Notamacropus eugenii: one gene and its partner. The protein of the gene in region 2 interacts with the protein of the main gene of each other region in a biochemical or structural test. Links are inferred from orthologs where the notes say so. Each region holds a gene or a part of one and is shown on either strand. Other genes may lie near its edges.

Region 1 (16,144 bases), on a different chromosome or scaffold from region 2:
GTGTAGAGTTGAAGGATCAATGCTGATCCTTGTTGGACTGGTAATAGGAGTTGTTCTACCTGCCCCATCGGCCTGGGGCTGCTGTCTTCTTCATTTCCTTTGTCTCACATCTTGACCCTGTCTTAGTCCAGGACTTTGGTGGTAGTGGTACACTAGGGGTGGGGAATGCATGGGAATGGAGGTGATTGGGCAGAGAATGGTTGGAGTCAAAGGACCTGGGTTTGAATCTCAGCTCTGCTACTTACTGTCTACGTGACCTTGGATCAGTTACTTAAACTCTTTGGACCTCAGTTTCCACATCTGTAAAATGATGGGGTTGGACTCTAAGATCCCTTCCACATCTAAATCTATGATCCTATGATCTCATTTGATCCCCGCGGTTACCCTCTGAAGGTAGATATTTCTATCCCCATTTTATAGATGAGGAACTTGGGGCATCGTGATTTGACCATCATTGCACAGGTTGTAAGTAGCAGAGTTAGGAGCCATCCTCCCTCCAAATCCAAACCCTTTCCTCTTCAAGGTGCTTCTTCTAGCCCATCCTTCCCTTATCTTCCAACTCCCCACCCCCAACCTCCAAGGGGAAGATGTAGTGAATAGGAGTCCTCTGTCCAGAGAAGAGTTGCTAGTGGCCTCCCTCCAAAGAATCACAAAATGTTTGGGGGCCCTCAGAGGTCATCTAGGCCAATCTATGCCTGAACAGGAATCCTAGGAAGGGGATCCCTTCATTTTACAGATGAAGAAATCAGGGCTGAGGGAAGTGACCTACTCAGAGTTACATAGCTAGTAAGTGTCTAAGGCAGGATTTGAATTCAGATTTTCCTGACTCCCCCTGTAGAACATCCTTGACAAGTGGTTATCAGGCCTCTCTTTGCAGGCTTTTAGTGAGACAGGGAACCTTCGACCTCCCAAGGTAGCTGGTTCTGCTCATGTGTAGCTCTTATTGTAAGGTTTGGTTTTAGTTTTTCATTTTTCCTTTACAATGACTTCAAATCTGCCTCTCTGCCACTTCTAATCATTACTCCCAGATTTACTCTGGGGCCAAGCAGAATGAGTCAGATATCCCTCCCCTATGAGAGATCTTGGGATACTTGGATTGTTATCGTGTCCCCTCAAGTTTCCTCCAGGGAAACAAAGATATCTAGTTTCTTCAACAGCTCCATGCTGTTCTTCTAACACCACCCCCCCATCTAAGTTTTACCTGTCCTTCAAGGCTTCCACTTATGACTCACCTTCCTTCATGAAGCCTTCCCTCATCAGCCCCAACCAGCTCTCAGTGAGCTCTTCCTCCTCCCAGCTACTGATGTACTTATTGGCTGTAACTCTCCTTTGATCCTTGCCATAGAGTTCCTAGCAGCACAAGCTATCTTTTAATGTAGGTTGTGTTGTCCGCCATAGCTTTTAAGATTCTTGATGGTAGAGAATGGGTTTTATTTATTTCTGCAAATATTGGTTAGCTCAGTAAAAATTGGTTGAGAATGTTGATGAGGACAATGGCAGTGATTTAAATAAAAAGCTCCCATTTCTAGAGGGCTTTCCTCACAACAGCTCTAGGGAATTTGCAAGGCAAGTATTATTGCCCTCGCTGTACAGACAAGAAAACTGAGACACGAAGACATTTAACCCAGACTCACATGATCTGACTATTAGACCAGTGATGTCAAATGGCTATAAAAGTCATCCTGTGCAGTCCTCTACTTCACCTTGGGAGAGTCCTCTCTGGAATCTTCTTGATCTCTACCAAGGACAGAGATCCTGGGAAAAAAAAATAAGTCATTGATTCATATTAAAAGTCTCCATGGACAAAGGAGGCTGAAATATCAAGTCACCCCATTTCTCAATGGATTATTTCGTTGGGAATGACCTATGGGATCTACATCCCATACAAGCTATTGACCAATTGAAAAGTTGCAGTCAAAGAAACCCTAGCCCCAGATTGGGCCACTTAAAAAATTTCACACAGTTCAGGTCAGAGCTGTTTTCCTTGCACATGGAGCAGAGATGTTCAAGGTGGGGTGGGAATGGGGGAGGGGGTATGAATGAAGTGGGAAGGTGTCCTATTACCTGTAAACTCTTGCTGAGATGTAAAGCTGCAGTTGCTAGGAGAAAGCTGAAGGGAAGTGAGGAAGCCAGAGCGCATTCCTACAAAAGAGATGAAAAAGAAAAGAGAAAATGAAAAAGAAAAAGAAAAAGAAAGGAGAGAGAAGCTGGGAGGGACCTTGAGGTTCCAGGCTAGCCCAATCCCTAGGAAAGGTCAGATTCCAGAACTTTTCCTAGAGGAGTCATAGGTGCCCTGGGACAAGCACTATTACCCTCAAAGTTATCCAGCCATGCTTTTCTCTTCAATGGCAAGAGTCCTGTGACTTGGGTAAAGGGAACAAGGGGAGGAGAAACTGGGGGAAAACCCTGCCTTGAGGTCCCTTTCCTAGAGGCCTGAGCCCCTGCACAGCCTAACCTACTCAGGGTTGATCTGATTGACTCAGAGTAGGTATTTCCTTCCATCCCCAGGTTTCTGTCCTTCCCTGTCTGAGGCAGATTGGCCCTAGAGGCTTATGACTACATGTCAAGGTGGTGTTCTGTTCCCCATGCCCATCTCCACCCCCCAAAACAATTGGGATAATACCTGGCCCTTCCTCAACCTTCTTGACACGTCGCTAATCTTCAGCCCCAAGATGGTCCAGTGACCTAAACATGGGCTTGGATACGCCTGCCCACAGGATGCCACCATTCTTTGAGCATTGTGCCTTCCCTTACTTTCAGTGCAGTCAATCAATTGAACATAAGCAGATTTACTGAATACTTACTGCATGTCTAGCTCCTCAACATAGGCACTCAGGGAGATGCAAGAAAGTAAAATAGCAAAGTATTGTGAAAGCTCAGGGAGAAGAGTCCTTGGTCATGTCACTTCCTCTCTCTGAGTCTGAGTTTTCTCATTTGTAAAATAATTGGGCTGCTCTCCAAGGTTCCTTCCAGTTCTAACATTCCATGACTTTGTAATTCTCAGTTCACGGTGGAATGGATTCATCATTCATGGAGGAGGTGGGATTTGAAGAATGGACAAAACCTCTCCCCCCACAAAATTAGGATAAAATCTCCACCCTTCTGGTCTCCATGTCCCCTCCCAGAATCACCATAATTAAGTCTGAATTCTGTTTGGGGTTGTGGGATGGGGGGAGGGACGAGCACACCGAGAAGACTGGAGTACTTATCTCTGAGACCTAGATGGTGGATTCAGGAATCTTTTGGCAGCCAGGAGGAGAGAGGAACAGTGAGCAGAAAACTGTGATTCCCCTTCATTCCCTCCCTGTATTCTCAAAATTGAGGTGAGACCATCTTCAAGTGGATGGGAATAAATTGTCCCTCACCAAGCTGGTGTGTGGGGACAGGGAATGGGGAGAAAAAGACAGAGAGAGAGAGATAGAAAGATAGATAGAGAGAGAGAGAGAGAGAGAGAGAGAGAGAGAGAGAGACAGACAGACAGACAGAGACAGAGACACAGAGACAGAGACACAGAGAGACAGACAGACAGACAGAGACAGAGAAAATGATTAGTAAGACAGTCACAGAGAGACTGGGGTGGGGGTACGAGGGGAGAAGGTAGAAGAGACCAACGGAAGAGAGATGGCACAGAGATAAGCATATTCAAAGAAAAAGAAAGACGGGGAGAAAGGTCTTTAAGGTCCCTCACAGATGTATGGTGCTATGATCTGAAAACGGGACAGAGATAGCCATTGGAAAAAAGAAGGGGCAAAGAAGACAGATATAAAGGGAAACACACACACAGCTAGAAAGACAGTGACAGAAACCAAAACATGGAGGGGAACCGGTGAGGATGGACTTAGAGACACACAGAGACTGCGGATTGATACAAGGAAAGGAGGAGGGAAACTCAGAAGAATTCCTGACAGAGGATTCATCCTCATTCTCGGAGAAGCTAGATACTCTCTACCCTTCACACATACCCACACACTCGCACACACACTCATCACACATTCACACACACCCATCACATTCCCACACACACAGTCACACACACCCTTCACACACACTCACACACACTCATCACACACGCACACACACGCACATCACACACACACCCTTCACACCCTCACAGCCCCCATCATACACCCCCCCCATCACACCCCCCATCATACACACACAGTCACACACACCCTTCACACACTCACACACCCCCATCACACACACACCCTTTACACACACGCACTCACACCCTTCACACACACACTCACACACCCCCATCTCACACACACGCACTCACACCCTTCACACACAGTCACACACACCCTTCACACACACGCACTCACACCCTTCACACACAGTCACACACACTCATCACACACGCACACACCCCCCCATCACACACACACGCACTCACACCCTTCACACACACTCATCACACACGCACACACACCCCCATCACACACACACGCACTCACACCCTTCACACACAGTCACACACGCACACACACCCCCATCACACACACACGCACTCACACCCTTCACACACACTCACACACACTCATCACACACGCACACACACCCCCATCACACACACGCACTCACACCCTTCACACACAGTCACACACACTCATCACACACGCACACACACTCCCATCACACACACGCACTCACACCCTTCACACACACTCATCACACACGCACACACACCCCCATCACACACACACGCACTCACACCCTTCACACACAGTCACACACACTCATCACACACGCACACACACTCCCATCACACACACGCACTCACACCCTTCACACACACTCATCACACACGCACACACACCCCCATCACACACACACGCACTCATACCCTTCACACACAGTCACACACACCCTTCACACACACTCACACCCCCCCATCACACACACCCCCCCATCACACACACACCCTTTACACACACGCACTCACACTCACACCCTTCACACACACACACACACACACACACACACACACACACACTCGCACTTCTACAAGACACACAAAGTACGAAGCCCTGCCTGGAGGGGCGGGGCGGCCGCAGAGGCAGGGAGGGAGACCTGGGCCGAGGAGCGGGAGAAAGAGGGCGGGGCGCCTCGGAGGCGGCCCCGGGAGGCTCTGGGCGGAACTGGGCGGGCCGCCGGGGTTCCCAGCACCTGGGTGAGGTCTGGGCCGCCCCGCCCCTCGCTCCGCACTTCCTTGTGTGACTGTACCCGGAGCCGGAGGCCCCCGGAGCGGCGGAGTCGGCCCGGAACCGAGCCGGAGAGGAGCTCCCGGCCCCAGCGCAGAGCGATCCTGCGCCCTAACCCTTCACCACCCGAGGGACCCAGTCCCTCGTCCCTCTCCCCCCAGCCCCGGAGCCGAAGATAGCCTGCCACCCCTGGGTCCCCCCGGAGACCCGGACGGAGTGATCCCCCCCTGCTGGGGCGGAGAGACCCCAGGACCCCGAAGTTCTCGGCTCCCCCCAGCTCCCGGGGCTGAGGGGCCTCCGGCGACTGGGCCAAGTCCCCCTGGGGACCCAGCGATTGCCCCCTCCCCAGACACCCACGGGCGGACGCCCCCGACCTGCGGAGGACCGAGAGATTCCCGCCCCCCTCCCAGAGCGCCGAGGCGCACCCCAAGGCGGAGAGCCGGAGACTTCGCCCTCTCGGTCCCCGCCCCACCGAGCGCCGAGAGCCTGGGGGCTGCGAGACTCCCCTGGAACCCAGAGACAGATCATCCTGTCCCCGGAACTAGGAGGAGAGGCTCTGCACCCCGACCCTCGTCCACCCCCTCCTCCTAGACCCAGATCGTGAGGGGCCCCCTCCCACCGCGGTGACCGGGAGAGACCGCTCTCAGACGAGGAAGGCTGCCGGGCCTGGAGAGACCCCTCACCCAGCAGAGGCACCCCCTTTGTTGGCTACGGAAGGTGAGGAGGTGGGAGAGAACCGGGAGAGGGGCCGAGAACCCCTCACCCCTCGGACCTGGGCTTGGGAGACGAACTCGGGTCTTTCCAGGGCAGTCCGGGCTACCAGCCTCCCGGCTCTGGACTTGGGGAGTTTCGTGTCCCTTCTGAAACTGCCCCAAGCCGACCACCCCGTGGCCGATGGCCGCCGCTGCCTTGCCTTCCCAGTGACCGTCCTTTCCCGTGGTCGGGTCTCCTCGGCACCTCTCCTTCTGTCTCTGTCACTTGACTGAGGAACACTCTCTCTCTCTGTCTCTCTGTCTCTCCCCCTCCTCGTCTCTCCGTCTCTCTCCCCGTCTCTCTCTTTCTCTGTCTCTCTCTGTCTCTCTGTCTCTGTCTCTCTCTCTGTCTCTCTCTATCTCCCCCTCCTCGTCTCTCCGTCTCTCTCCCCGTCTCTCTCTTTCTCTGTCTCTCTCTGTCTCTCTGTCTCTGTCTCTGTCTCTCTGTCTGTCTCCAGGGGAACTGCTTCATGGGGCATTTCCCACTCTCCACCCCCGTTTGTCATCTTCCATGCGTATCTTCTCGTCCATAATCCCCTCATTTATTGTACCCCACATTCATCTCCCCCATCATTGTCCCCCAAAAGCACCATCCCTATTCACCCTACCCAATATCCCCGTTCCATCATCCCAGTATTTTGATGCCCCTCATTCGTTGTCATCTTGTCTGTAATCCTCTTTCCACTTACTTCTATCCATCAGCCCACATCCATTGGCCTCCTTCTGTCATCCCCACATCCACTTATTCCCCTTCTCATTCATCGTCAACCATTCCTGGTGTTTCTCCTGCCACGTCTTTTCATTTATTGCTTGGTCTTGTCTTGTCCCGCCTACCACTCTGTCCCTTATCCCCTCTGGCTTCTCTTCCTTTCTCTGCCCTCTCTTTTGTGTTCCCACCCTTCCTCTGATGTCCCTTCCATCCTAGCACTTCTACTTCTGCCCTCCTTCCAGCTACATAATGTCCTCCCTATCTTATTTCTGACTCCTTTTCCCATCAGGACAAAGGGAGAGAAGAGCCTTAATTTGGCTGACTACCTGCTTTTACATCCCTTATCCTCTTGCCTCTGGGGTCTCTTTTTTCCTTCATTCATTTCTTTCTCCTTTCTGTGCCCTAGACTCTGTCTTTCTCTGTCCCTGTCTCCCATCTTCCTGTCATCACCTTTCCTGAACTTTAAGGGACAGTTGTACTCTCTCCCCCATCTCAGCTGGACCAGTAGATCTGAAGCTCATCCTATGCCAGATGAGAGGGAACCTCTGGAAGGGAACCCTGGACACTTCTTGATTTGATGAGTGGCCTGCGTGTTTGGGAAGGGTTTAGAGAATGAACCCATCTACTCGGACACACAGAAGTCATCCACCCCTTGAATTTCTAAGGTTTGGTGGGTAGTGGAGAAAAAGAGTGGAGAAAAAGAGTCCATCCTCTGACCGTCTTTTCCCTTCACCTCCACATCCTCCCTCCCTCCCGTGGCTTTCTCCCCTGACTGGCAGGAGAGACTTTTTTGAGAAAAAGTTATGGCAAGGGAGTTTCTCACTACCATCCAAGTGGATTTTTTTTGGGGAGAGGGTCCTTCCTGTAAAATCTCTTTATGTGTCTCCATCTACCTCTAGGTAGTCTGCATTTTTCTGCATCTGTTCTTTCTGTTGCTGTGTGAATACTGTCACTCTGTTTGTCCTACATGTCTCTGTGCCTGTTCCCTGTCCCATCTCTTTGTGCCCCAATTCCTTGTGTCCAATGTGATTCTGACTTCCCTCTGTCTGTGTCTGTCTCCTGTGTCTGTGAATCCTGCTGGGGGTTTAGATATGGGGGCAGTTTATCTGTGCAGACACTACATGGTGAAATTATACGTATATCCACCTGACTGTGTGTGTGTGTGTGTATGTGTGTGTGTATGGGAGTATGGTTTCTTTTTTCCCCCCAGCATCTCCTCAGACATGCTGTAGCCAGCTGTGACCAGGTCACTGAGAGGTGGAGACCCAGGTCACTTGGGCTTCCTTGTGGTAGACATAGTTTGAACCAGAGTGCCTACTGACAGGCCAGCAGAGGGCGAATGTGTGGGAGGCAGTGAATGTGACTGTGACTGTGCGTGATTGAGTGACTGTTACTGCGTGGGTATGTCTGCTTGTGTGTGTGTGTGCATGACTCTGCGAATGCCTGCTGTATTAGTGTATGATACTCACTCTCTGAGAGAGTGTGACTCTGCTTTATTCTGGGAGTGAGTGTGTGTGGAACAATGACACTGTGTGTACATGTATGTGCATTAACCCATGCGTTCCTGTGTGATCACAATGCTTGGAGAAAGTGGCTTCTCTGGTGGAGATTTCAGTGTGCTACCTCTGGCCTCTGACCTGTCTTGGAGGGAAGGATTAAGAAAGGTTTGGATTAGCCTCTGAGGATCACTCACACAGTTCAGTGAGCATTAAACATAGTGTAGGGGAAAGAGAGGTGGCCTCAGATTCAGGAGGGCTCTATAGACATCTTGCCTCTTCTCATCTGCCATCCACTGGCTTCCTTCAAGGCCCACCTACAATCCCACCTTTTACTGGAAATCTTTCCTGCTCCCTCTTCATTATAGAACCTCCCCTCTGTTGATTATTTCCTATCTCTCCTGTATATAGTGTTTTTCTATATATTTGCTTGCATGTCGTCTCTCTTATTAGATTGTGAGCTTTTCAAGGGTTGTTGTTGATCAGTGTGTTCGATTTTTTGTGACCCCATTTGGGTTTTTCCTGGCAAAGATATTGGAATGGTTTCCATTTCCTTCTCCAGCTCATTTTTACAAACAAGAAACCTGAGGCTAACAGGTCTAAGTGCCCTTGCCCAGGGCCACACAGCTAGTAATGTCTGAGCCGTATTTGAACTTAGTGCTCCTGACTCTAGGCTCTGTGCTCTATCCACTATGCCACCTAGCTCTCCCTTTGAGGGTAAGGGCTGCCTTTTACTTTTCTTTATATACCTATCATTCATCATGGTGCCTCACCCATAGTAGCTGCTTAATGCTTATTGCCTGGGATCTGCATTAATAAAAAGGACTTTCAACATGCCTATGAAATTGCAGGCCTGGACTAACCCTGCCACAATTTTCTAGGTTCTACCCATGGTCTGAGGATAGTCAAAATTGAAAAACAAAGCAGTCTTTGCCCTTGATGAACTTAGTTAGACTCTATAGGGAGGAAACTTCTACACAGATAAATAAATACAGTCATTTCCTGGGGCCTGGGGAAGACCTCAGCTGACCCAAGGGATAGGGAGAGTCCTCTGGTAGGAGGCATCTTTGGAGTTTGACCTTGAAAGGAGCTAGCAATTTCAAGGATGAGGGGCCAGTACATTCCAGGCTTTAGGAACAGCCTGTGCAAAGGCATCAAGGTGGAGGATGGAGTGTTACGAGTTAGGTGAACAAACAGAAAGCCAGTTTGGCTGGAAAAAAGCCTTTGAGAGGAGCAGGGTGAAGTCAGCCTGGAAAGGTAAGTTGGAGCTGGATTGTGACGGGACTGAAAAACCAAAGAGAGGAGTTTGGATTTCACCATTTGGGGCAATAGGGAACCAATAAGACATCTGGAGCAGGGAAGTCACATGGTCCAATTTGCACTTTGGGAATTCCAATTTGACAGCTGTGTGGAGGAGGGAATAGAGGTGGGGGAGGGAGAAGACTGGAGACAGGGGGACCAATAGATAGGCTCTTGAGATAGTCAAGGAAAGAAGTAATGAGGACCTGCCTAGGATGGCTGTGATGTGAGTGGCAATAAGGAGATAGGGGCAAGGCATATAGAAGACAGGGAAAACCAGACACATAAAATAATCTATATCAAGATTTGCTTCTGGTCTTGGTTTTTGTCTGAGATTCCTGTCCTCCTTTCTTCTTGCGTCTCTTACCCTAGGCCCCAAGGGCGATGTAGACCGGAGCCAGCATGATATGGTGGAAAGGGCACTGGTCCCAGGATTTTGGTTCAAATTCCAGCCCTCCACTTTACTACCTGAGTAACCTGGGGAAAGTTATCTATTCTGGCCTCAAATCTAGATAATTGGACTATAACCCTTTCTAGCTCTAAATCCATGCTCCCAGAATCTCTTTGCTTGGCTTACTAAGAGAATGATGAAGGGAAGTTAACCCCAGGAAGGGAAACTAGATCTCTAGGTAATCTGCACATTGGGTTACTAAGCCCTGAAAGATGGAGAGTAGACTATTCTGGGCTATGGCTGCAGGGCACTGACACCATTTAACAGGAAGAGATAATTAGAATTTAAATTAAAAGTTAAAATAATTTAAAGTTAAAAAAAGGAAAAATATTAAGCCAGTGAATACAGCTGTGCCCCTGGGATTGGGTCTGTGGCCTTTTGGACTAGGGCAAAGGGGACAGGTGAACAAATGTCTCTGTGGCTTTGGGGATGGCTGTGAGGATCATTTAACTGCCCCACCTTCTCTCCCTAGCCTGTCTGGAGCTCCTAGAGAGAAAGGATCCTGGTTTATATGTCTTTGTCTCTCCCTTAATGCCTAGTATAGGGTTGCGGTCCTAGCGGGTGTTTATTAAAGACTTGGCACCATAGAATGGTCATCAGAATCAAAAGGGAACTTTTGGGGTTCTTAACTTTGGGGTTCTTAACTTGGGGTCTATGAACTTGTTTTAGATAGCTAGCTAGCTAGCTAGACAGACAGATAGACATCAATAGAATTGTTTCTTTTGTAATCCTATGTATTTTAATTTATGTATTTTAAAACATTCTAAGGGGTCCATAGGCTTCATTAGAAGGTAAAAGGGGACCATGACCAAAAAAAGGGATCATTTTATCTAATTTGACCATCCTCATTTTATAGATGTATCAAATGAGACAGTGAAGGTAAATGACTTACTTAAGGTCACACAGCAAATCAGCCGCAGAAAAAAGACTAGAAAAAACCCTGATCTCCCAGCTCCTAGTCTGGTTCCCTTTCTGTCCCTCTCCTTGTAGATTCAGAAGGCATTTCTGTAGTGGTTATGTGACCGCCCTCTTTCTGTCTTGGCCCTGCAGGTCTGGTGGGGATTGGATGCCCTTTGGTCTCACCTAGCATCAGTCCGGGAATCTTTCTCATTCCTCAGAATCACCTGCTACATAAGGACCTTGGACAGAGAGTGAGACCCTAGTCAGGAACGACAGGTAATGAGGATCCAGGGGCCTCCTCAGTCCCTGAGCCATTCTGCTCTCTCGTTGTTTCTTCTTTGCTGCACCTCTAATGTCAAAGACCAGCCCTCTGGGGAATCAGGCCGTGTCACCAGCCTGTGGAGAGTGTCGGACCCTAGGATGCTAGCTCAGGCTGAGGACTGGGATGGGTGTGGAATTGGCTGGCTGGGCTTAGGAGGCTGGTGTCCTCCTAATGTCACTTTCAGGCAGTTTGTGTTTGATATATGGCTTCTTTGATTGGTTCTTGCTCCAGTATCTCCCTGATATCATCTCTACAGATTTGGGGTACATTTATGTGTTAGTCTTGCTCCTCAGGATTTCCAAGCACTGATTTAGAGGAAGGAGGTTGTAGACCAGAGAGGAGAAGGATGGAGGATTGAAGGATAAAAGGAAAAAGAGGAGGGTGTTGTTGAGATGACATATTACCCTTTGGTCGGTGCAGACCACTGCATTCATCACTGTTCTGTGGCCCCTAGTTTCTACTTCTCTAACCATGTAAGCAAAGGAACCTTAGGCAGGTCCCCTTTGCTGGGGAGGGAGGGGGTGAGTCCTGTATCTGAGGGATGGTCTGTATTTTGGGGGATGCTAGACTCATAGAGTGTTAGAACCTTATCATCCTAGGATTAGACACTTACAGTTAGAAAGCAGAGACCAAGTTTCCCACTGAACATAAAAGGAACTTGAAGCCCAGAGAAGGGACATTATTTGCTGGAGGCCATAGAGTGACTTAATGCCAAAGGAAGCACTCCAGCCCTGGTCTGCTGACTGTCAGAATGCCTTGTTAGCTGGTTTTGTTCCCGTCAGTCATGTTACCCACCCCCTAGGCTGGCCCGCAGTATAAGAGGAGTGAGCAAAAGTAAAGAGGTGGGGAAGGGGGGCCGCTGGGGTGGAATGCAATTTGAAGGAGACCATGGGAAGGGTGGCACACTCATATCCTTCCTCCACCAGCCTATCACCATTGCTATGAATTCTGCCATTACCATTTCATCCATTTACCGTGACCAATTCATCGATTACCAGTTTCTGTGGATTCAGCATTACCCTTTCCAGGATGCTTTGGGGAAATGCTAATTTAGTTTAATCCTAAGAGTGGCATATCATATTGCTAAAAGCTCAGAATGGATGAATTTGTCAGAAGCTTGCATTCACTCATTTAACAAACATTTATTAAGCACCTACTGTCTGCAGGACCTTTTGCTAATCCCTTTAGGGAAGACATTCCATTAAGCTATGGCCCAATCTATGGAACATTTCATGAGCAGGGGGTTCGAGAAGAGCAGAAAGATAGGGACAAGGAGATCAGAATTTCTACACTTGCTACTCTGCAGTTTTGCCTGGAACTGCCCCAGTTCTCTTTCTTCCAGGAAGTCTTCCTGGACTAGTTCTGTCTTGTTCCCATCTCTCCTTTCCCTAATATCATCTCTCTAGATTTGGGGATGCATTTATATCCTAGTTCCCAAGGGTTTTAATGTATCTTCCACATATGGGGGGGATGCTTGGTGTGGAGGGCAGCTTAAAGTGGGGCCTTTGTTAGTCATGTCAACTTTCTGGGGCCTCGATCCCTTCCCTAGTATTACCTAGAGAGGTTTGCTCTTCTCTCAGATTCTCCTTCCTACTCAACTGGAAACTTTGTCAGTAAGCTCTCCACTTCGTGGTCCCCACTTCTGTCACCTGGCCCTTTCTTCCCTTCTTTTCTGGGTGTTTGGCACAAGGAAGAAGATTTGTAACAGAGCTGTCAAGGGTAAGGTTGTACACGTACACAAACACACAAGAGTGCTATCTAAGAAAACCATTCAGAGCTGGCTGGGTGAAGCAACCCCCCTCTATCCCCCTTACCATGCTTGGCCCCATGTTTCTTTCTTGGCCTGGAGCCCTTCCTCTGCCCCTCCAGGCCAAAGAGAAGGACATCTGCTGTCCCAGAACACCCAGTACTGATTTGAGATAAGCCTACCTGAGCGCTTTGGACTCGACTCTATCCCTGGCTCACTTTCTGCCAGTCCAGAAGCTCTGTTCTGTGGGTGGGCTTTGGGCCTTCTACCCACAGTCTAATTTAGCATAATCTCACTCCTTCTTCTGTGGAAAGAACACAGAGAATGAAACAAAAAGCTGTCACATACATTAAAGCTTTTTCACAGATTCACAGATTAGCAGAGCTGAGAGGGACCTGAGAGATCATTCTAGTCTAACCCTCTCATTTTACAGATGGAGAAACTGACTCCCAGAACAATCGTGTCTCTTGAGATCACACAGTCAATGAGTGGCAGGCCACCAGATCCTAGTGCTGTGTGCTCTTTCAACTACAATTTTCCCAAAATACTAAATACTTCAACTGACACCCCTGTCACTACATCCTGTCTCTCAAACTAGGACAGTGTTAACACCTTTATCTTCATCAGAAAGAAGTTTACAGGGTGCTTTCCCCTCCCTCCCTCCTCTCCCATCATTCTTCTCTCCCTCTCCCCTCATTCCTTCTTCCCCTATTCCTTTCTTTCTCCTCCCTTCCCCTGTTGACCATTGGTACACCCCACCAAGGTAAAACCAGAAAAGCAGTCTGGGGATCTGCAGCCCAGGGGCTGAATTGACTTGCCCTGAATCTGGACCCCAAGCTGGGAGGTCAATGTAGGGAGGGACAATGGCGAATCTTAGAGAGTTTGGGAATGCTTAGGCTTGTAGCAGGAGAACAGGACCTTCATAAGAAGGGATGTCAAGCTGGTTACAGTTCATTGGCCCAGAGAGCCAGACAGGGAGCTCCTCACTGGAAAGTCTCATTCTGGTGATTCAGGCAGCTGGGGGATGGGCAAGGGGGAAAGGAGGAGAAGGGGTGTGGCTCTCCAAGGCCTAAGGCTTGGGGGGAGGGGTTCAGCCCTGCCCCACTTCCCCCCTTTACTTCTCCCTTTTGCTCTGAGCAGCTGAATCCTCAGCTTCTCCAAACAGAGCTGACGATGGAGGGAAGAAGGAGGGAGGGAGGAAGGGAAGGATATATGCAGAGCTAGCATCAGATCAGCCTTTCTTTCCCCTTTCCCATGTGAATTTCATTATCTAATGAGGTTAATTAGCCTTGGGACTCTCTGCCACCCTCTACCTAACACATACATAGGCACACATAAATAGATCATGCCCAGATATGCACACACACACACACACACACACACACACACACACACACACACACCAGAATACAGGCCTTACCTATAGACTCCTAGTCAGGCACTATGCAAAGCACTGAGTGTCCAAAGGAAAACATAATTCCTACCATCAAGGGGTTTATATACTATCAGGGGAGACAAGATGCATGCCCATGCATATTTACATGTAGGTATACATGCATACACATGTTTGCATTTATTGTGTGTAGGTGCACTGCATGTGCAGGCACATTTGTACGTGTGATGTATGTGTGAATAATGTGCACGCACAATATATTTATGCACAAAAGAAATATAAAATACAAGGTAATTTTTGAGAGTATATTTAGATATATGGATGAATGTATACATATACGGAAGAGATAGACAAGGTAAAGGTAATTTTTGAGGGTGCATATGTATGTATGAATATATGTACACATGAGGAAGATACAAGCTCAGGGCCATTTTTGGAAGGAAGTCATTTGCGGCTAAGAGGATCAGGAAAGATTTCCCGTAGAAGGGGGCCCTTGAGCTAGATTTTGAAGGAAACTAAGACTTCTCAGTGGCAGAGGGGTGGGAGGGGCATGTTCCAGGAATGGAACTAGCCCATGCAAAGGAATAGATACAGAGATGGAATGCAGTATATCAGACACAGTAGGTACATTAAGGGGAATAATGTTTAATAAGTCTGGAAAGGTCAGTTGGGGCCAGGCTGTGAAGGGATATAGATGTCAAACTGAATAGTCTGTCTTTGATCCTCAGTGTAATAGGGAGCCATCGGAGTTTATTGAGTGAAGATGGTGACATGTCATCTTCACTTTCAGCTCAGTGGAGGCTGGACAAGGGGGAGGTGAGTCAGGGCTTCTACAGTAGTTCCAATAAGAGGTGAAGAACTCAATTAGGGTGAGTGAAGGGAAGGGGTTGGTTGTAAGATACAGCTGTAGGAGAGGTAAGAAAGGCGTAGACACAGAAATACACACTCAAGAAAGATGTATGGTCATATACCCACACACATTTAGATAGGCACACAGGTTTGTCACACAGACACGGAGATGGAGGTCACATCAACGTGTTCCTTTGGGAACGTCACATGGACAGAAAGTGAGAGCATCCACAATGGACGGGTCTGAGTCACTGAGTGGATTTGCCAAGTGATAAGGGCTCTTCTAGTACATTTTGTCTGGGGGCGTGCTAGTCTTAACCCTGCCACTAAGTTTCTTTTAAAAAGATTTTTTTATTGATTTTTTTTTACATTGCCTGTATCCTGTAATGTTCCACTACATTCATGTGCCACAATTTGTTTAGCCATTTCTGATGGTTGGTAATCTACTTTATTTCCAGTTCTTTTTGCCACTAACTTTCTTGTGACCTTAGGCAAGTCCCTTCTCCACTTTGGACTTCAGTTTCTACAACTGTGCCAGGAGGCAGTTAGACTAGCATTCAGGGGCGGGGAAGCTGATTGATTGTCAAAGGGCCGTAGTTGAGGGCCTTGAAGGCCACAGGTTTCCCAACCCTGAACTAGATTATTTCTAAGGGCCCAACTTTCTAGCTTCTATGTTTCTGATTCTAGGTCTTTTTAACCCTGGGATAGAAACTGTATCATGCAATGGTTCTTAACTTGGGATCTGTGAACTTTTTTTTTAAGTGGATAACTATATTTCAGTAGAATTGATTTCCTTTGTAACCCTTTGTATATTTAATTTCATAGAAATAAAACTATAATTTTCAGAAGAGGTTTATAGATTTCACCGGACCAGACTGCCCAGTGGGTCTGTGACACAAAAATCAGCTGAGCCCCTTGTCTAGTGCTAGATAAAAATGATCAGCACTTATTATTACTGGTGGTAATAGCAGTGATCAAGCTTTCACTCTTCCCAGAATTCCTCAGTACTCCTGGGCCCCTTG
Region 2 (16,144 bases):
GCTAAACAGTTTCAAGAAATTGAACTGATTATGATTGATTCTGACACATATCACAGGGATTGGCTATTCTTCTGGAAACTTCCCATCCTTTTGGACATTCTTGAGTCTGACTATGTAGAAAAGACAACCTAAAACTGTTGCTATACAAATGGCCTACATCAATCTGTTTATGAAAGAAAGGTCAGAAATGACTAACACATTACAAATGTCTAACAAAAACTTGAAGAGACTGTGTGCCTTGGTTCCATTACAAGGGTGTATGAATGATCCAAATCTCTCCAGGAACTTATTTCTATGATTCCAGTGACCTTCCCAGTCACCATTAAACAATCTATTCTGTGTCCCCAAACAAATGACTATGGAATTGTTGTAAGATGGTAGTGAACTCAGGGCAATTAACCTCAAGAGCTCAATTCTAATAAAAGTTTCAGATACACTGGTAAAGTCGACAACTATGACCAAAGTTTTGGGGAAAGTCAACAGGATGAAAGTTGCATGCAGGAGGGAGGAAAGAGAGGAATCAGGGATGAAAAAGTTTCCTCTTCGTTAAAATGGGGGTAATAATAGCACCTCCTTCCACAGGGTTGTTTATGAGGATTGACTACTAAAGAGAAAAATGTCAAGTGTTATGCAACCCTTAATGCATTATATGTTAACCATAAAAAGGCTAACATAACATATAGTTAGCCTAGATAGTATAGTACATGGTACAGTGAATAATAAAATAAGAGTTAATATTTATATAGCACTTAGTATGTGTAAGGTGGGCAAGTAGGTGGAGCAGCAGATAGTGCCCAGTCCCAAGTCAGGAAGATGAGTTCAAATCCAGTCTCAGACTGCACTAGCGGATGACCCTGGGTATATCACTTAATCCTGTTTTCTTCAGTTTTCTCATCTAAAAAATGAGTTGGAAAAGGAAATGGCAAGTCACTCCTGTACCTTTGACAAGAAAATCCCAAATGGGATCAGGAAGAGTTGGACAGGACTCTAGCATGGCTAAATGGTTTTATAATTATCTCACTAGCTCTTCACAATAACCCTGGGAGGTAGGTGTTATTATTATCATATAGAAGGCAAAACTGAAGTAAACAGAGGTCAAATGACTTTCCCAGTGTCACAGAACTAGGAAGCCTCTAAGGTAAGGTTTGAACTCAGTTCTAACACACTTCAATGGCAGTGCTCTGTCCACTGGGCCACGTAGCTGCCTAAAACCGTCACTGAGCAGACTCTTAATCCTGTGGTCTGAGGGAGTTCAAACCCAGACTTAGATACTTAGCGATCCAGTGACTCTGGGCACCCTCCGTTTCCTCATTTGTAAAAAAGGGGATAATGCTAAACTACCTCTAAGTAACGGGGATTATGAGGATTAAATGAGATAGCACGTCTAAAGAGCCTGGCAAACGTTAAACAATCCAAATGCTAACTATGGTTACTAAGGAAACCAAAAATGCCCAAGAGCAAGAATCACCGAGAAAACGCCTGTTCTTTTCTCTATGAAGCCCCCGCTCACCACCCAGCTCCCGACTTCTGCTTGCCCCCTGCCCCCCTCCATCCCAGCTCCTGCCATCGAGCAGCCTGGGACCCTTTGCTGCGGCCAGGCAGTCCGCCTACGAGCAGTGACACGCGCCAAGGCGGTCCTGCGGCTGGCTGGGGCCAGACACTAAGCGGCGGAGCCTAAGGGATGGAAAACCCCGGCCCCGAGCTGCTCACGCGCACTGCTCCCGTCCGAGGCTAACTTTCGCTTTCCGCTCAATCCACAGTCTTCTCGTTCCCTGGGCTTTTCTTCGAAACCACGTGATGGTGGCTGTTCCGAGCACCGCGCACCCTCCTGCCAAGGTCAGCGTCAATGTTGCCCCTAGGCGAGCCAGGAAACCGCAGCTTTTTTACTATTTAACCTTCGTGCCAATTGATTGTTGGAGGAGAATTGTTTCCTTTCATACCGTGTAACTGATCCTTTAAAGTGAAACATACTAGGAGGAAGATAAAATGTATCACAAATATCCTCGCGTTTGTATCACTAGGCCCATCGGGTCTGCTGAAGACGAGAAGCCGGAACAACGCAGGAATTGGAATTTAGTGTAATGAATGAATGGATAGAGCGTAAAATTTGGAGCCAGTAAAGCCTTCAGTTCAAATCCTGCCCCATCAAACACGTGCCAGCTGTGTACCCTGGGCAAATTACTTAACATCTGTTTGCCTCAGTTTCCTCAACTGTAAAATGGGGATAAACCTATCTCCCAGAGTTGTAATGAGGCTCGAATGGAGATAATAATTGTAAAGTGTTTAGCACAGTTCATGGCAGATAGTGTAAGCTATATATAAATATTAGCTATTATATTATTTATTCCAGCTCTAAAGTAAACTAGTAAGAAAAAAGGGATGGATTTGCAGTCAACGTATACGAATTAGAATCCCACTACTGTGACTGTTGCTGTAAGGCGATTCACTTCATCTCACTGAGAATTAATCTTCCCACCTGAAAAATGAGAATAATGCCGCATAGGAATTGTTTGTGAGACAAGTATTTTGTAAGCTACAGAATCGAAGCATTGCAAAGGACTTCATAGGAAATTTAACCAACAGTGCTTTATGTGTGAGTTATTATCAAAGTCCTCCTATATGTGAATTATGATTGAAGTCCTCCTGTTCAACAACAGGATAGAACAGATGTGACCACATAGTAATTGGTGTGACAAAGATTGAGCATGCATCAACAGCGTGATCTCATTACCAGAAAAGGTGTTTTAACCTTAGATGACATTAACAAATATATGGTATCCAAAACAAAAACAATGAAAGCTCATCTATACTCTGCCCTGGTTCAGACCATATTTGGAATGTTTTGTCCTATTCGGGATACCACATTTTGAGAAGGCCAATGATAAGTTGGAGTGAATCCAAGGGTTGGCAGCCAGGAAGATTAGAAGGTATGAAATGATGTCATGAGGAATGGATGAAAGAACTGGGGATGTTAAGCCTGAAAAAGAGAGTGCTTTGGGAAGTATGCTATCTATCTTTATATATTTGAAGATGTCATATATAAGGGGTATGAGGTTTGTTCCACAGAGTTCCAGAAGGCAGATCTAGAACCCATAGTTAGGAGTCATAGTGAGACCAATTTCTATTAAATATAAGGAAGAAATTTCTAGTCACTAGAATTGTCCGGCATGGAATGGGGTGCTTTGCAAAGTTTGCAAGCCAGAAAAGAAAATCAGTTGCCTTGTTTCCTAGTCACAGTCATTTTTTTTTTCACCAAAAGGTAGCCATCTTAATAATAATAATAATAATAACTAACATTTGTCTGGCACTTTAAGGTCTGCAGAGCACTTTCTTGTGAGCCTTACAACTCTGTGAGGTAAATGAAATTATTATCCTCATTTTCAGATGGAGGAAAGAAAGGCAAAAAAGAGCTTAAATGACTTGTCCAGTCATATAGGTATAAGTGGCTGGTACAGGCCTCCAAGATCTGTCCACTTCTCTATCTCACTGCATATTGATCTTATTTATCAGACCAAATGAATCTTGGCTATTTCAAAAGCAAAAATCCCTCAAAGGACAAAGATTTCCCATTCAGCAGGACAATGTTAAAATGAGCAAACAATTGTCAAAGAGGAGTTGCAAAAATATTTTGAGCAACTCAAGCATGATTGGAATAAGAGTACAGCCTCCAAAATAACTATTTTGAGGAGATAATACTTATTTGATTGTAACAGTTTTGTTACCAAATATTTAAATTGATCCGTAATCTCAACAATTTAGGAGTTCTCTCCAGCAAAGCCTTCTTTTCCATTCTATGGGACTTTAGTCCACAACTTTTTAAAAGTTCATTATGAAGGGTCCACTCAATGTGCTAGCTGCCTTTTTTGCTTTCTCCTGACATTTCAGTGGAACATTCTGGTTATCCGTCTGTCATCCCTTGCTCTTGACCTACTCATCCCTTCCTTTCATTCAATTCCATCTTTTACTTCTGTTCTTCACACTCTATTTATATTATATATAATTATAATAACAAATTAAGATAAATAATGAATATATTATAATAAAGCATAATAAGTAATTATATGTAAAGATTGTATATAATCTCTACATTGCCCTCTTATTTCTAATTCCTCAGAGGCATGTGAGTTCTGTAACTTACTCTCATATAGCAATAACTATGGATTGTTAGTATTTAAAAGATGGACCTTTGCTTTTATGACAAGTTTAGGATGGTAAAAGGGCTTTGCAATTTCCTGAAAATAATCAGACAACCTCTCCTATTCATAACTGATCCCAACTCTTTGTTTATCTCTACTATTTGTCCCAGATACATGCTGTTAGAAAAGCTCTGTAGGGTAGAGTGTCCATTCAAATGCATATTGAAATCTGTGCCATAAATATTTTTCATCTTTTAAAAAGTCATATTACTTCATAATCTTATTTACATATGTTATGGTTCTTCTCCAGTAGATTATAATCTGTGGGGAAAATAGTACACAGTTTTAAAAGGCAATACAAAGCAACATATTCAGCTCCTGTAATTTCTCCATTACAGTTCAGACTCTAGGTCAAGGAGGAAGAAAAATGCACTCTTAGCACCTGGGATCAATGCTCCAATATGTGTGGTAAAGAAGTAAGAGCAATTAGTGTTCAGAAAAAGGAGAGAACACCTCCAGTCAGGGAAGCGGTCTGCAAAAGACGAGATGAGGTTTGAAAGAGGTCTTGAAGGATCTATATTGGAACAATTAGTGGTTCTGGACCCTGATGGCTTCCCAGAGCAAACAATTCCCACTGGGATAATCAGCCTGGAGTACCCTCAAATCAGCTTTCTAATTCTGTGAAAATAGTATATTAGAACTAATCCTAAAAATTCATTGATATAGAGAACTTGCAAGTGAAGAAATGTCTTCAGTTTATAGTCTGTCTCCTTAGAGGAGTGAATGGTTAAATAACTTGCCTAAAGTCAGAGGTAGGATTTTACATATCAGAGGTAGGATTTATACCCAGGTCTTTCTAGCTTCAGGGCCAGCTCTTTATCCACTACACCACACTGTGTCTTAGCAGCATTAAAGTAGTATAAGAAATTAAGCTAAATTCAGTAGCCTGAGATGGAGAATTATAGAACCTCAGAGTTTGAAGGGATCTTGGTGGTAGTCCAACCCAACCCACAGGATGTGGGTTCCTATACTAGAGAAGCATTCATGTGACTCCTTTCTTTTAAAAAAAAATTAATATTTAATTTTTCTCTCCAAATACATGTAAAAACAATTTTAACTTTTTTTTCAAATGTTTAGTTCCAAATTTTCACCTTCCCTCCACTCCCCCTCCCCTATTGAGAAGGCAGTTTGACTTAAGTTATTCATGTATAGTCATGCAAAACACATTTCCATGTAACTCATGCTGTGAAAGAAAACACAGGGGAAAAAAACAAAATAAAGTAAAGGAAAAGCATCTTCAATCTGCATTCAGGCTCCTCCAGGTCCTTTTCTGGAAATGGACAGCATCTTTCATTATAAGTTCTTCAGAATTGTCTTGGATTGTTGTATTGCTGAGTTTGACTCTTTTCTACACAGTGTTTGGGCATCAGGATTATTCCCCTTACTAGAGGGAAATGTTAATATATGCAGAAGGATGACAGGATACAGGTTAGTCCTCCTAGGAAAGATAGAGAGAAAGGAAAACCTTAGGGAAAGGAGAAGTGAGGCAGACTTGGAGAATTTTCTACTGGATGGGGTCTGGGTGGAGAGAAGAGACAATGCAGCAAATGGGCTTCAGTTTGCTGTTCTAACATCTTCCCAAACCAAACATCATTTTCTCCATTCATTTACCAGAATCTTTGCCTTAGGGCAAAACCCAAAATGGCCCTATTAGCTTTGGTTTTGAAGGAACATAGGATTTCTATAGATGAGGAAGGAGAGAGAATATTTCATTGTAAAGGAATAATTTGAGTGAAGTATGGAAGTAATATTGTGCAAAATGGATTCGAGAGAACATGAGTAGACAGTAGGCTGGGTCAGGGATTGTCTATAGGGAAAGGTTATTGTTTATTCATTCACCATTTACTCAGTGATTCAATCATTCTTTTAACAAATATGTGTTGAATGCCTAGGCAAAGCATTGTATACAGGTCCTGGGGGGAAATACAAAGAATAGAAAAAGTCCTTCCTCTAACGGAGCTCACATCACAGAGTCATAGAAACCAGCTGGCACAACTCATACTTAAACAGAAATCCCTCTGCCACATTCCCAACAAATGGTTATCTAGCCTTCACTCCAGAGTAAAAGCAAGTCCAGTAACTGTGAGAGTCGCTCATTCCACTTTTGGATGGCTCCCAAATTTTTAGGAATATTTTCCTTACAATAAGCCTAAACCTGCCTAACTTTCTGTCCTTTGCTCCTAGTTCTGCTCTCTGAAGTCAAACAGAACAAGCGCAATCAGTCTTCCAAAAGACTTCTCAAATGCTGAAGACGCATATCATTTTCCATTCCTACCCATCATGGCATGAGCTTGAGGCACTTCACCATCTTGGTTACTCTCCTCTAGACACTCTCCAGCTTTTCAATGCCTTTCCAAAAATGTGATGCCAAGAGTGAGATAAATGTGGCCTGAGACAGGTAAAATACAGCTGAATTTTTACCTCCTGAGTCCTGGACACTATTCAGTAAGAAGATATTAGCTGTCTTGGCTACTGCATTACGTTGTTGACTCACGTTGATATTCTAGACCACCAGAACTTGCAGATCTTTTTCAAAGGAATTGCCATATAAAAAATTTTAAAGATGAGAGAACAAGTACAGAGAAGGAAAAGTGAATTGCCCAAGGTCACAAAAGGAATTAATAAATGGTAGAGCTCAGATTTTAATCTGAATACTCTGACCCCAGATCCTCTGCTCACTATACTATACTATACTACACTACACTACACTACACTACACTACACTACACTACACTACACTACACTACACTACACTATACTACTGCTTCTAGTCAGTGGATAGAGCACTGGGCCAGGAGTCAGAAATCTCTGTGTTCAAATTTGACCTGAACCACTAGACTTGCCCGGGACAAGTCACTTAACCTCTCTTCCTCAGTTTTTCCAACTGTAAAATAGGTGTACTACTGATAGCACTTATCTCACAGGATTACACATAGCAAGCAATTAATAGATTCTTGTTCCTTCCCTTCCACAGCCCACTCCCATGGCACTGTGAATCATAAATGCAGGCACAATGCAGGGATGGTTGCAGCCAGACCATTCTATTCATATTTATGCAATCTAATGCCACTACCAAACACTGAAACTCCAATCAATATCTTACAAAAGTTTGCACTGCATGGGGGTCCCAACTGTCTTTGCAAGAACATTGATCTAACGTCATACCATTCCGTGCCCACTGTGGGTCCACTGTCCCCACCTGTATCACTGCAGATGCTTTGGTTTTAGTTTAAGTCCATGATTATGGACTTATAGTCAGGAAGAAGGAGATTCACATTCTGCTTTTGACACGCTGTAGCTCTGTGATTTGGCGTCTCTCCGTGCCTCGATTTCCTTTCATTTATAAAATACATTTTAATAAAAACATGTACCTTTCAGGGATGTTGTGAGGATCAAGCAAGATAAATTCAGAAAAATATCACATTTTGTCTTGTATAATGTACAGAAAGCATTATTATACTTTGATAAAAAGTGCTATCTAATGTGAGTATTATTATTACTGAGGATTAGGGTCTTTGCTCCCCACACTTTCTTACATATAACACCCTGGAAAGGAAAGATAGATTGTTTCTTCTTGCATGGCAGTTATGAAGGATGCTGCAGTTTGGAGGTTTGGCACTAAGAGAGAGAGTGAGAGTTCAACAAATATCTGTCAAACACCCAGTACTGTGTAAAAGGAGTCATGCTATGTTCTGGGGATATATTAGTTTATACATCCTGATCCTACTCGCATGATTTAGATTATTTACTAATAGAGATGATTTGGCACATCTTTTTGCTGCTAGCCACTGAAATGTAACTTCGGAGGTTTCATTTTCAACTGCAGACGAAACTTGTTAGATATGCCCCAGATTATGCTACAGGTTTGCTTTAAGATTAGCAAAGCGAGACCCGGAAGACGGAAGGCAAAGTGAAGACCGTGCCCACATCTGAGAAAGGTACTTGAAAGGGAACAGGAATTAGATGCAGAGAGCTAGATTGCGGAGGGGAGTTGGGGCCAGGGAAGGAACAGCCTTTTTTGATTGGCCTGACGAGAATGAGCCTGCTCCATGATTGGTCAGGAAGTGGAAAGTGAAACTCGAACGGGTTATTAGCTAATTGCGTTTTCTCTGTCCAGTTAGTTTTGCTCTGCTGCAGGCCGACCCTAGGAAACAGCTGAACCTGAAAACAAACGAGCCCCGACAGCCCCCAGGAAAGCTTTCTAGAATCAAGCCTGATCAAGCGAGTGACAGCTGACGTCCAGCCTGCTCTGTGCTACCCCCGCTTCTCGGCTCCGCAGAAGGTGGGTACTTGGGAGGAGCTTGGACCAGACGGTTGTGGAACTGATGGGAAAGATGCGTCTTTACTTTGCGTGGGGAATCCGGGATCAATCAGTATTTGCAGAACACTGGCTAAAATAATCGGGGGGCGCGGGGCAATCAGGACACTTGGGAAGGAGGGATTCCCTCAGCTCCATCCTTTATCCAGAGAGAAGGGATATCTACGTACTTTTCCCAAATGGAGACAAGTTACTTCTCTCCAACTGAGCTCGTCTATAAAAAGACGATTGGATCAGATGGTGTCAAAGATCATTTCCAGCTTTAAAGTTTTGGGATGTCTAGGTAATTAGCTACGTAGGGCTAACAGAACACATAAAACATCTGAGGAGGGAGAAAAGAAAAAAACACTAGCAAATGGGAAGAATCTCTTAGGAAAGGCAACAGCTGAGCTGCTCCTTAATGGAAAATAGGGTAGTGGAAAATTGGAGGAGCTGGATTCTAACCCCCGTTGTGTTAATTCTGTTACCTTTGGCAAAGTATTTGAGGCAGGGGTTCTTAACCTTTTTTGTTTCATTGACCTCTTTTTTATGCTTATGCACCCCATCCCAGAGTAATTTTTAAATGCATAAATAAAATACATAGATGTAAATATAAATAAATAGAATACAAATGAAATCAATTATATTGAAAGAGTTATCACTGTGTTTTAAAAACACATGCAAATTGATGGACCTGGGGTTAGGAACCCCTAAATTTTAAACTATCTGAAGAATGCAGTACATAATATATGACCTGATTGTCCTACTTTAAGCAGAGTTAGAATTTTAGAGCTAGAAGGGACCTTAGAGATCATTTCATCCAAGTTTTTTTTTTCATTTTATATTTGAAAGGAACTGAATAGACCCATTATCTTTATCTGCAATCTCATTCAACCAGTTTCCTAAGTTTGAAATTTTGGTGTTAACTTTGACTCTTCCCTTTTTTTCAGTTCACATATCCATTAAGTTGCTAAATTCCCTTAATTCTATCTCTGTATCTTTCATTCAATCCTCCCTGCTACCAGACTAATTGTCCTCATCATAGAGTCATAATTCTTCTAGCCAGAAATTTTTATTTGTTCACTGTCATTTAGATCTAAAGTTCATTTTCCTTATCCTGATATTCAAGGCCTTTCACAATTTGATGCCCCCCTGTATTTCCAGTCTTTATGTCCCTACATGTGCTCTTTTTCCTCAGCTAAACTAGATTGTTCCCCAAACCACCCTTATACCTTTCCAATCACAGAATTTCCTCTGTGTACATTATCTTCCCCCATTAAATTTATCTTAATCCCCCTTTTAATGTCTAATTCAGATGCTACCTCCTTTGAGACACTGCTTTCTGTGTCCCTAGGTCATTAATGATCTTACTTATCATGGATTGTAAATAATACTTTGTGCTTTTTTAAAAATTTTGGATACCACATTTCTTTTGCAGTTGTGTTTGGAATCATAAACTCCATGGGGATTGTAATCCCCATGAAGTCAGGGATTGTTTCTTATCTAAACTTTCTATCTCCCCAAGCATCTATCACAGTGATCTATAAACAATAAATACAAAAAATTTCAGTTGAATGTTGGATCATCTCTCAAGATTTACTCAGATGCATCTGAGTAGCAAATTATGCTGCAGTTAATTTCTAGTGTTTGATATGCTGCAAATGAGCAATTGCTATTGGAATTTGCTAAAAAAAATTATTTTGTCTTCAGCATTTCTTGTATATCTGTGTGTGTGCATGCATGTGTGTGTTTACAATCATAGTTTGTATTGTAAAGAACCTTGGATATTTTCATGTTTGAATTAAAGAAACTAAACCCATGGGAATGAAGTAATTTTCCTAAAATCAAGCAGGGACAGAAATGGTTTAGAAACCAGGTTTAATGACTCTCATTTCAGCCCTTTTATTTCTAATTTTTACCATACCAAGTGCTACTGTGATGATGACAGAGTAGAAGATAGAAGAGGCTAAGACAGTTTATAGATTGTCTATAGAAATTCACTCCATTGTAGGCTCTGTCAATATAATATCCTTTCCTAGGAACCAGTAAGTGAACCTGCTATTAGAGTAACCAAATCATAGCCATTTGGACATTCTTACTGTAAATAAAGCCAGAAGACAACATTGCATCTCAATGGAAGGTTTGTCTGTAGAGTATCCTTGGAGAAAAAATGATGCAGCTGATAGAGTTGGTTTTATCATGCATCGAAAGGCAACAAGAAACGTCATTTCATGAGATTCTTGGTTAGCTGTTTGGTAGGCTCTTGGTTTGTTTGTTTATTTTGTGGTGTTCATGAATAGCATGATAAGTATGCGAATAACTGAACCTTATGATCCATCATCTGTTACAGAGGATGGGGAAGTAAAGAAATGCTGTTAAGAGCTTAAGAAGATCCCATCCCCTCCAATGAAATCAACATATACTTTAAAACTCAGTTACTTCAGTATCCATGTCTAGAGTGTTTGTGAAATATGATAGAAAACATAGTGTAAGAATAAGAAATCAAAGTGATCAGAATAGTGTAGACAATACTGAAACCACCTTCTTTTATGTAGTGAATGCTACATGGGGACAGGCAATGAACATGAGCACCAAGTAACATCATAAAAAATGAAATGAGTTATATTTTAACAAACAAAAGATGACTGGTTACTGACATAGCAGTCATTTCTGAATCAGTTGTCTATGTAGTCAAACTTGTTAGAACAAGATCAAGATAAGTATCAAAATAGAAAAATAAAAATGAGACATAGGACTAAGGTAGATTCAATGTGACCTATTTAAATAAGCTATTAGCATAACAATGGGAAATAGATAAAAAAGCCAACATTAATGTAGGCTAGTATTATTTCTTAGAGAAATACAATCAGTGTAAGTCCATAGCATAGAAAGTGCCTCTGCCAGTCAACACTTGATTTTGTCAAATGAAGAGATATTGCAGAAAAGGGCACCAACCATTTAAAGCATCCATTTATTTGCAAGAGCTTACTTGAGGAAAGTACGGTAGAAAAATATGAGCTGTATCGTTGCATAAAAAACATTGAGAAGTCATAACAGGAAGAAAAAGTTTAAAGAAAGTTTGGTGAGAGACCCAACTAAGCAAAATCATCCTAAAGAAATTAAGAGGTTAAGCTGTAAGACTGAAAAATATATAGCTGAAAATTTTAAAGTCATAGTTCCTGATGTGCTACTCAGGGAAGGAGAAATGGCCCTGAAAAAATTTAGGATGGGAAGAGGAGTTCAACTTGACTTAGTAAACTTAGAAAGAATATACTGGAGATAAAGGCAGTGAGAGATTGATTCTCAAGGAAACTGAAAGTAGGGAGGATTATAAAGGCTTAGGAAAAAATCTCAAACCTTACTACTCCAAAGGGCAACCAAAAGAACATTAATAATTACTAATACATATTCTCACTTTCTTATGTCTGTACCATTTTTTATGAAGATAGGGTACATGTGCATTGAGATCATCCCCAGGTGTATAATAATTGAAAAAGCAGGCTTCTAAAATGATATTTTAGAGCAGCCACATGGTTGACTAAAAGGTATAGCAGATACAGTATTCTACTGCACATATTATTTGTTAACAATAGAAAAAAGTTATTTGATTTTGGAGAACAAAATGCTACTTTAAAGGTTTTCCTCCAGAAAGTTGATTTCCATAAGACTTCAGAATCATATAAGATTCCCTGAAAGAAGTAACAACAGAGAAAAATTTTGTTCAACAGTTCTGATACATCCAAGTCAAAGAAGGATTCTTTATAGATAGCGAGATTCTTCAGATGATTCTGTTTGTGGATGATAATGGACTGATTGCAACAAGCCCATAATATTGTGGATCCTACTAAATGAGATCCATATTGATTTAGCAGATTTCAGCCTAAACATCCACAGAGAGAATACCAAATGGATTAAGAACAAAATTTTAGAAGATCCAATATCTAGCACTGAAAACCTAATAGTAAGCACAAATCTAATTCTTCACTTTGCTAAGCTCAGCAGCTATTTGTTGCTGATGTGCTAAAAGCCCCAAAGGATATAGATGACAGCAAATTTGGTGGTAGATGGAAAAATGCATTTACTTTCCTTTTCCTATTATTAGGAAAGGAAAATAACTTAAAAGGCAAGCACTTTCTCTTTACTTTAGCAAAATATGTTGTATGAGATCGGTCTGCAGTTTTTTGACAAATAAAGATCCCACAGATGTTAAAACTTTTGCTATTGAGCTCTTGGATTTTGAAATTCATTAATGCATTTTGTTCTTACATCCTAATCACTTTCCAGTAATGTGTCTACTATTTCACTCCTTTCAGACCCTATGACAGAACTATCTGATACAGTGACTATGACAGAATGTTCTATGACTATAACATTCCACAGTTATAATCTATGACTTTAACTGAGAGAAGGATAAAGCGTTTTGGTATTAGTCATCTGGAACCAATATTGATCACTGCATTTTATCTGATTTTTGTTGTCTTTTAAGGTTATTTTCATTTGCATTATGGTTGCCATTGTGTATATTGTTCTTCTGACTTCGCTTTTTTTTAGAAAAAAAACAGTCTTCCCATGTTTCCCCAGATTCCTCATATTTACTTTGAACTACTCTTCTTAATACCCAGTTTTTTCTCTTTGTCTGTGGAACACTATGATCTTTAATTTGTTGTATATTTCTTCTTCACTTATAGGATGTCCCAGTGGAGTGACCTACAAGGACTTGACTCCAAATTCTTAGAGCAAGTGCATCAACTTTATGATGACAGTTTTCCTATGGAAATTAGACAGTATTTGGCACCTTGGCTGGAAAAGCAAGACTGGTAAGGAAACCCCTTGGACATAGTAAAAACTTCTGTCTGCAAGTTGTGGGTGTGACAATGATTTATTGATTTAGTTAAAATTATATTGACAAAGGACATACTCACATGTTCACAAAAGTGTTTTAAGGCACATAAAACTCTTCTATATAAAACTCATAACAACTCTCTGAGGAAAATAGTACAAGATTATTATAGATTTTTTTTTATTGATGAGGAAACTAAGGTTCAGAGGTGAAATTATTTTTTCAGGATTAAATGGATTTTAGAGGAGAACCCTAACTTTGAATCCAGTGCTCTTTATATCACAACACATTGTATCTCTTAAATGGATCATTTATGAGTCGATTCATTCTTTCCTTCAGGAGTTATTGGCTGAGTGCATCTAATGTACTGTGAAGGATACAATGAAAAATGGTTCAATCTCAGGTCTCAAAGCTCTTAGAGAGAGAGATAAGGCAGGCAATACAAATAATCATCATAGAAGATAAGATATGAAAAATGTAATAGGAGAGGTGCAAAGGTAATTCATAGTGGGGAAGAGATCACTTCCAGTTGAACAATCAAGGAGACGGCCTCAGATATTGCACCTTGAAGGATGGGCAGGAATTACATAAATATAGCTAGACCTAGAAGGACGTCCAGAGAGAAAAGCAGGAACAAAAGCATTGGGGTAAAAAATCAAAGTCTATTGCTACTAATATCCTGAATTTTATAATGATTTGTGCTAAGTCCAAACAACTTGGATAAAGGTATAGATGGCATACCCATCAAATTTTCAGGTGACACAAAGCAGGTAGGTGACAGAATTAACATCCCCAAAAGATCATGGCAAGCTTGAGAATTGGAGTAAATCTAATAAGATAAAATTCAGTAGGAATAAATGTAAAGTCATGCACCTGGGTTCAAGAAATCAATCTCACAAGTACAAGGTGATGGAGACATGGCAAGGTAGCAGTTAATCTGAAGAAAGGTTTAAGGGCTTTGTTGACTATGTGTGACATGCCAGCCAAGAAGCCACTCTTGGGCTTAGTGATCTTAGACTTCATTAAGAAGAGGATCAATAGATGAGAGTCTCCTTGTACTCTTCCATAGTAAGACCACATCTGAAATAGTGTGTTCATTTATGGGTACTATAGTTTAGGAATAGTATTGATTAATTGGAGAGCACACAGAGAAAGGCAATGAGGATGATGAAGGGCCCTGAGTCCATGTCATATGATGATTAGTTGAAGGAACTCAAGGTGTTTAGCCTGGAGAAGAGCTTTAGGAAGACGTGATAACTGTGCTGAAGGATTGTTACATGGAAAAGGAACTGTTCTATTTGGTTTCAGTAGCAAAACCTAAATCAACTGATGAAATTTGCAAGAAGTAAATTTAGACTTGATATAAGAGAAAGCTTCCTAACATTTATAGCTATTCAGAAGTGAATGGGGCTGTTTATTGTTCTGTGACATTTGGATTCTGTCACAGGGCTACACTTGAAGACCTAGAGTGCCCCATCCCTGGTCTGGATCAAGACCCAGGGAATAAGTGGCAAAGTTGGAATTTGATTCCGGGTCCTCTGACTCCAAATCCAGCATCCTTTCCGATGTATCATGCAGGTGGACTTTCATATATGCTACTTTAATATTATTTGGAATTAGTAATTGTCTGTTTTGAATCTCCCAGGGAGCATGCGGCCATTGATGTCTCCTTTGCCACAGTATGTTTTCATGAACTTCTGTCTCAGTTGGATGAACACTATAGCCGCTTCTCTCTGCAGAACAATTTTTTGCTGCAACACAATATAAGGAAAAGCAAACGTAATCTTCAGGTATGTTTTAATCTTTGTTGGAAATGTTGCCATGTTGTCACCTGGAAGTTCTCAAAGATTATGTGATATTAATTTACCTATAGCTCCCATTTAAAATTCATTATACAGAAATTTGAAATTTACAATATGAGTAAAGGGAAGCAATCAATTCATTTCATAAAAACTTTTAGCTTCACACATAACATAAACCATGTATTTTATATCAACACCTTTCAGAGAAACACAGTATAGTGCAATGAAAATAATGCTGAATTTGGAGTCAAGGGACTTGGAGGTTCAAATCTTAGTTCAAACCCATTGCCTTTAGGCAAGTCACTTCCTCTATCTTGGTCTCAATTTCCTGATTTGGAAAATTTAAGAGTTGGATTAGATGATCTCTAAGACCTCTTCAAGCTCTAAATCAATAATCTTATGAAATCTACGATATAGTTATGAATATCTTATGAATATGTTAATCTTGTGAAATACTATACAAATTTACATAAATGGATTAGGAAAACTAGGAACTGAAGGTGTTATAGAAACAGACTTTTCAGGTATGTGAGGTATAGAAATCATGTAGTCCTGCATGCAAAAATGATAAACGATGTATGAAAATATTTTGAGTATTTTTAGTCAAGGGGAATATGTTACTTGTAGTAAGGAAAGATAAAGAAATGTTCTGATATAATTAATGAGAGAGAACTGATAGAAATGGCTAATTTCTAGCTTATACAAATGATGATAAATGAGTACAAGTACACCTCAAGAATAGGAAATGTTTTCCCAATTTCAGTGACAATTTATTTTAATTTTTAATTTTGCTTTTCATGCCATACACCTAGGATAATTTTCAGGAAGATCCAATACAAATGTCTATGATCATCTCTAATTGTCTGAAGGAAGAAAGGAGAATTCTAGCAGCTGCCCACCAATTTGAACAGGTACTTTTGGTCCTACCAGAACATGTGTGAAGAATCACCTTAAAAAAATTGGTCTGTCTCTAGTGAATGGAGCTGTAAAATATGGGCAGACTATATCT

The links.
Region 1: of the proteins of STAT1 (region 2) and PRKCD, one has a biochemical effect on the other in vitro, tested with the Homo sapiens proteins (2 studies listed by BioGRID). The link is inferred for Notamacropus eugenii from reciprocal best matches to the Homo sapiens genes STAT1 and PRKCD.

What each region holds. Positions count from the first base shown.
Region 1 is NC_092872.1:939,381-955,524, reverse strand, and holds the start of PRKCD (protein kinase C delta type), read left to right. Parts: upstream 1-5,117; 5' UTR 5,118-5,921; intron 5,922-10,961; 5' UTR 10,962-11,087; intron 11,088-16,144.
Region 2 is NC_092876.1:258,467,081-258,483,224, reverse strand, and holds the start of STAT1 (signal transducer and activator of transcription 1-alpha/beta), read left to right. Parts: upstream 1-8,247; 5' UTR 8,248-8,478; intron 8,479-13,181; 5' UTR 13,182-13,182; coding exon 13,183-13,310; intron 13,311-14,978; coding exon 14,979-15,123; intron 15,124-15,947; coding exon 15,948-16,046; intron 16,047-16,144. UniProt on the Homo sapiens protein: Signal transducer and transcription activator that mediates cellular responses to interferons (IFNs), cytokine KITLG/SCF and other cytokines and other growth factors.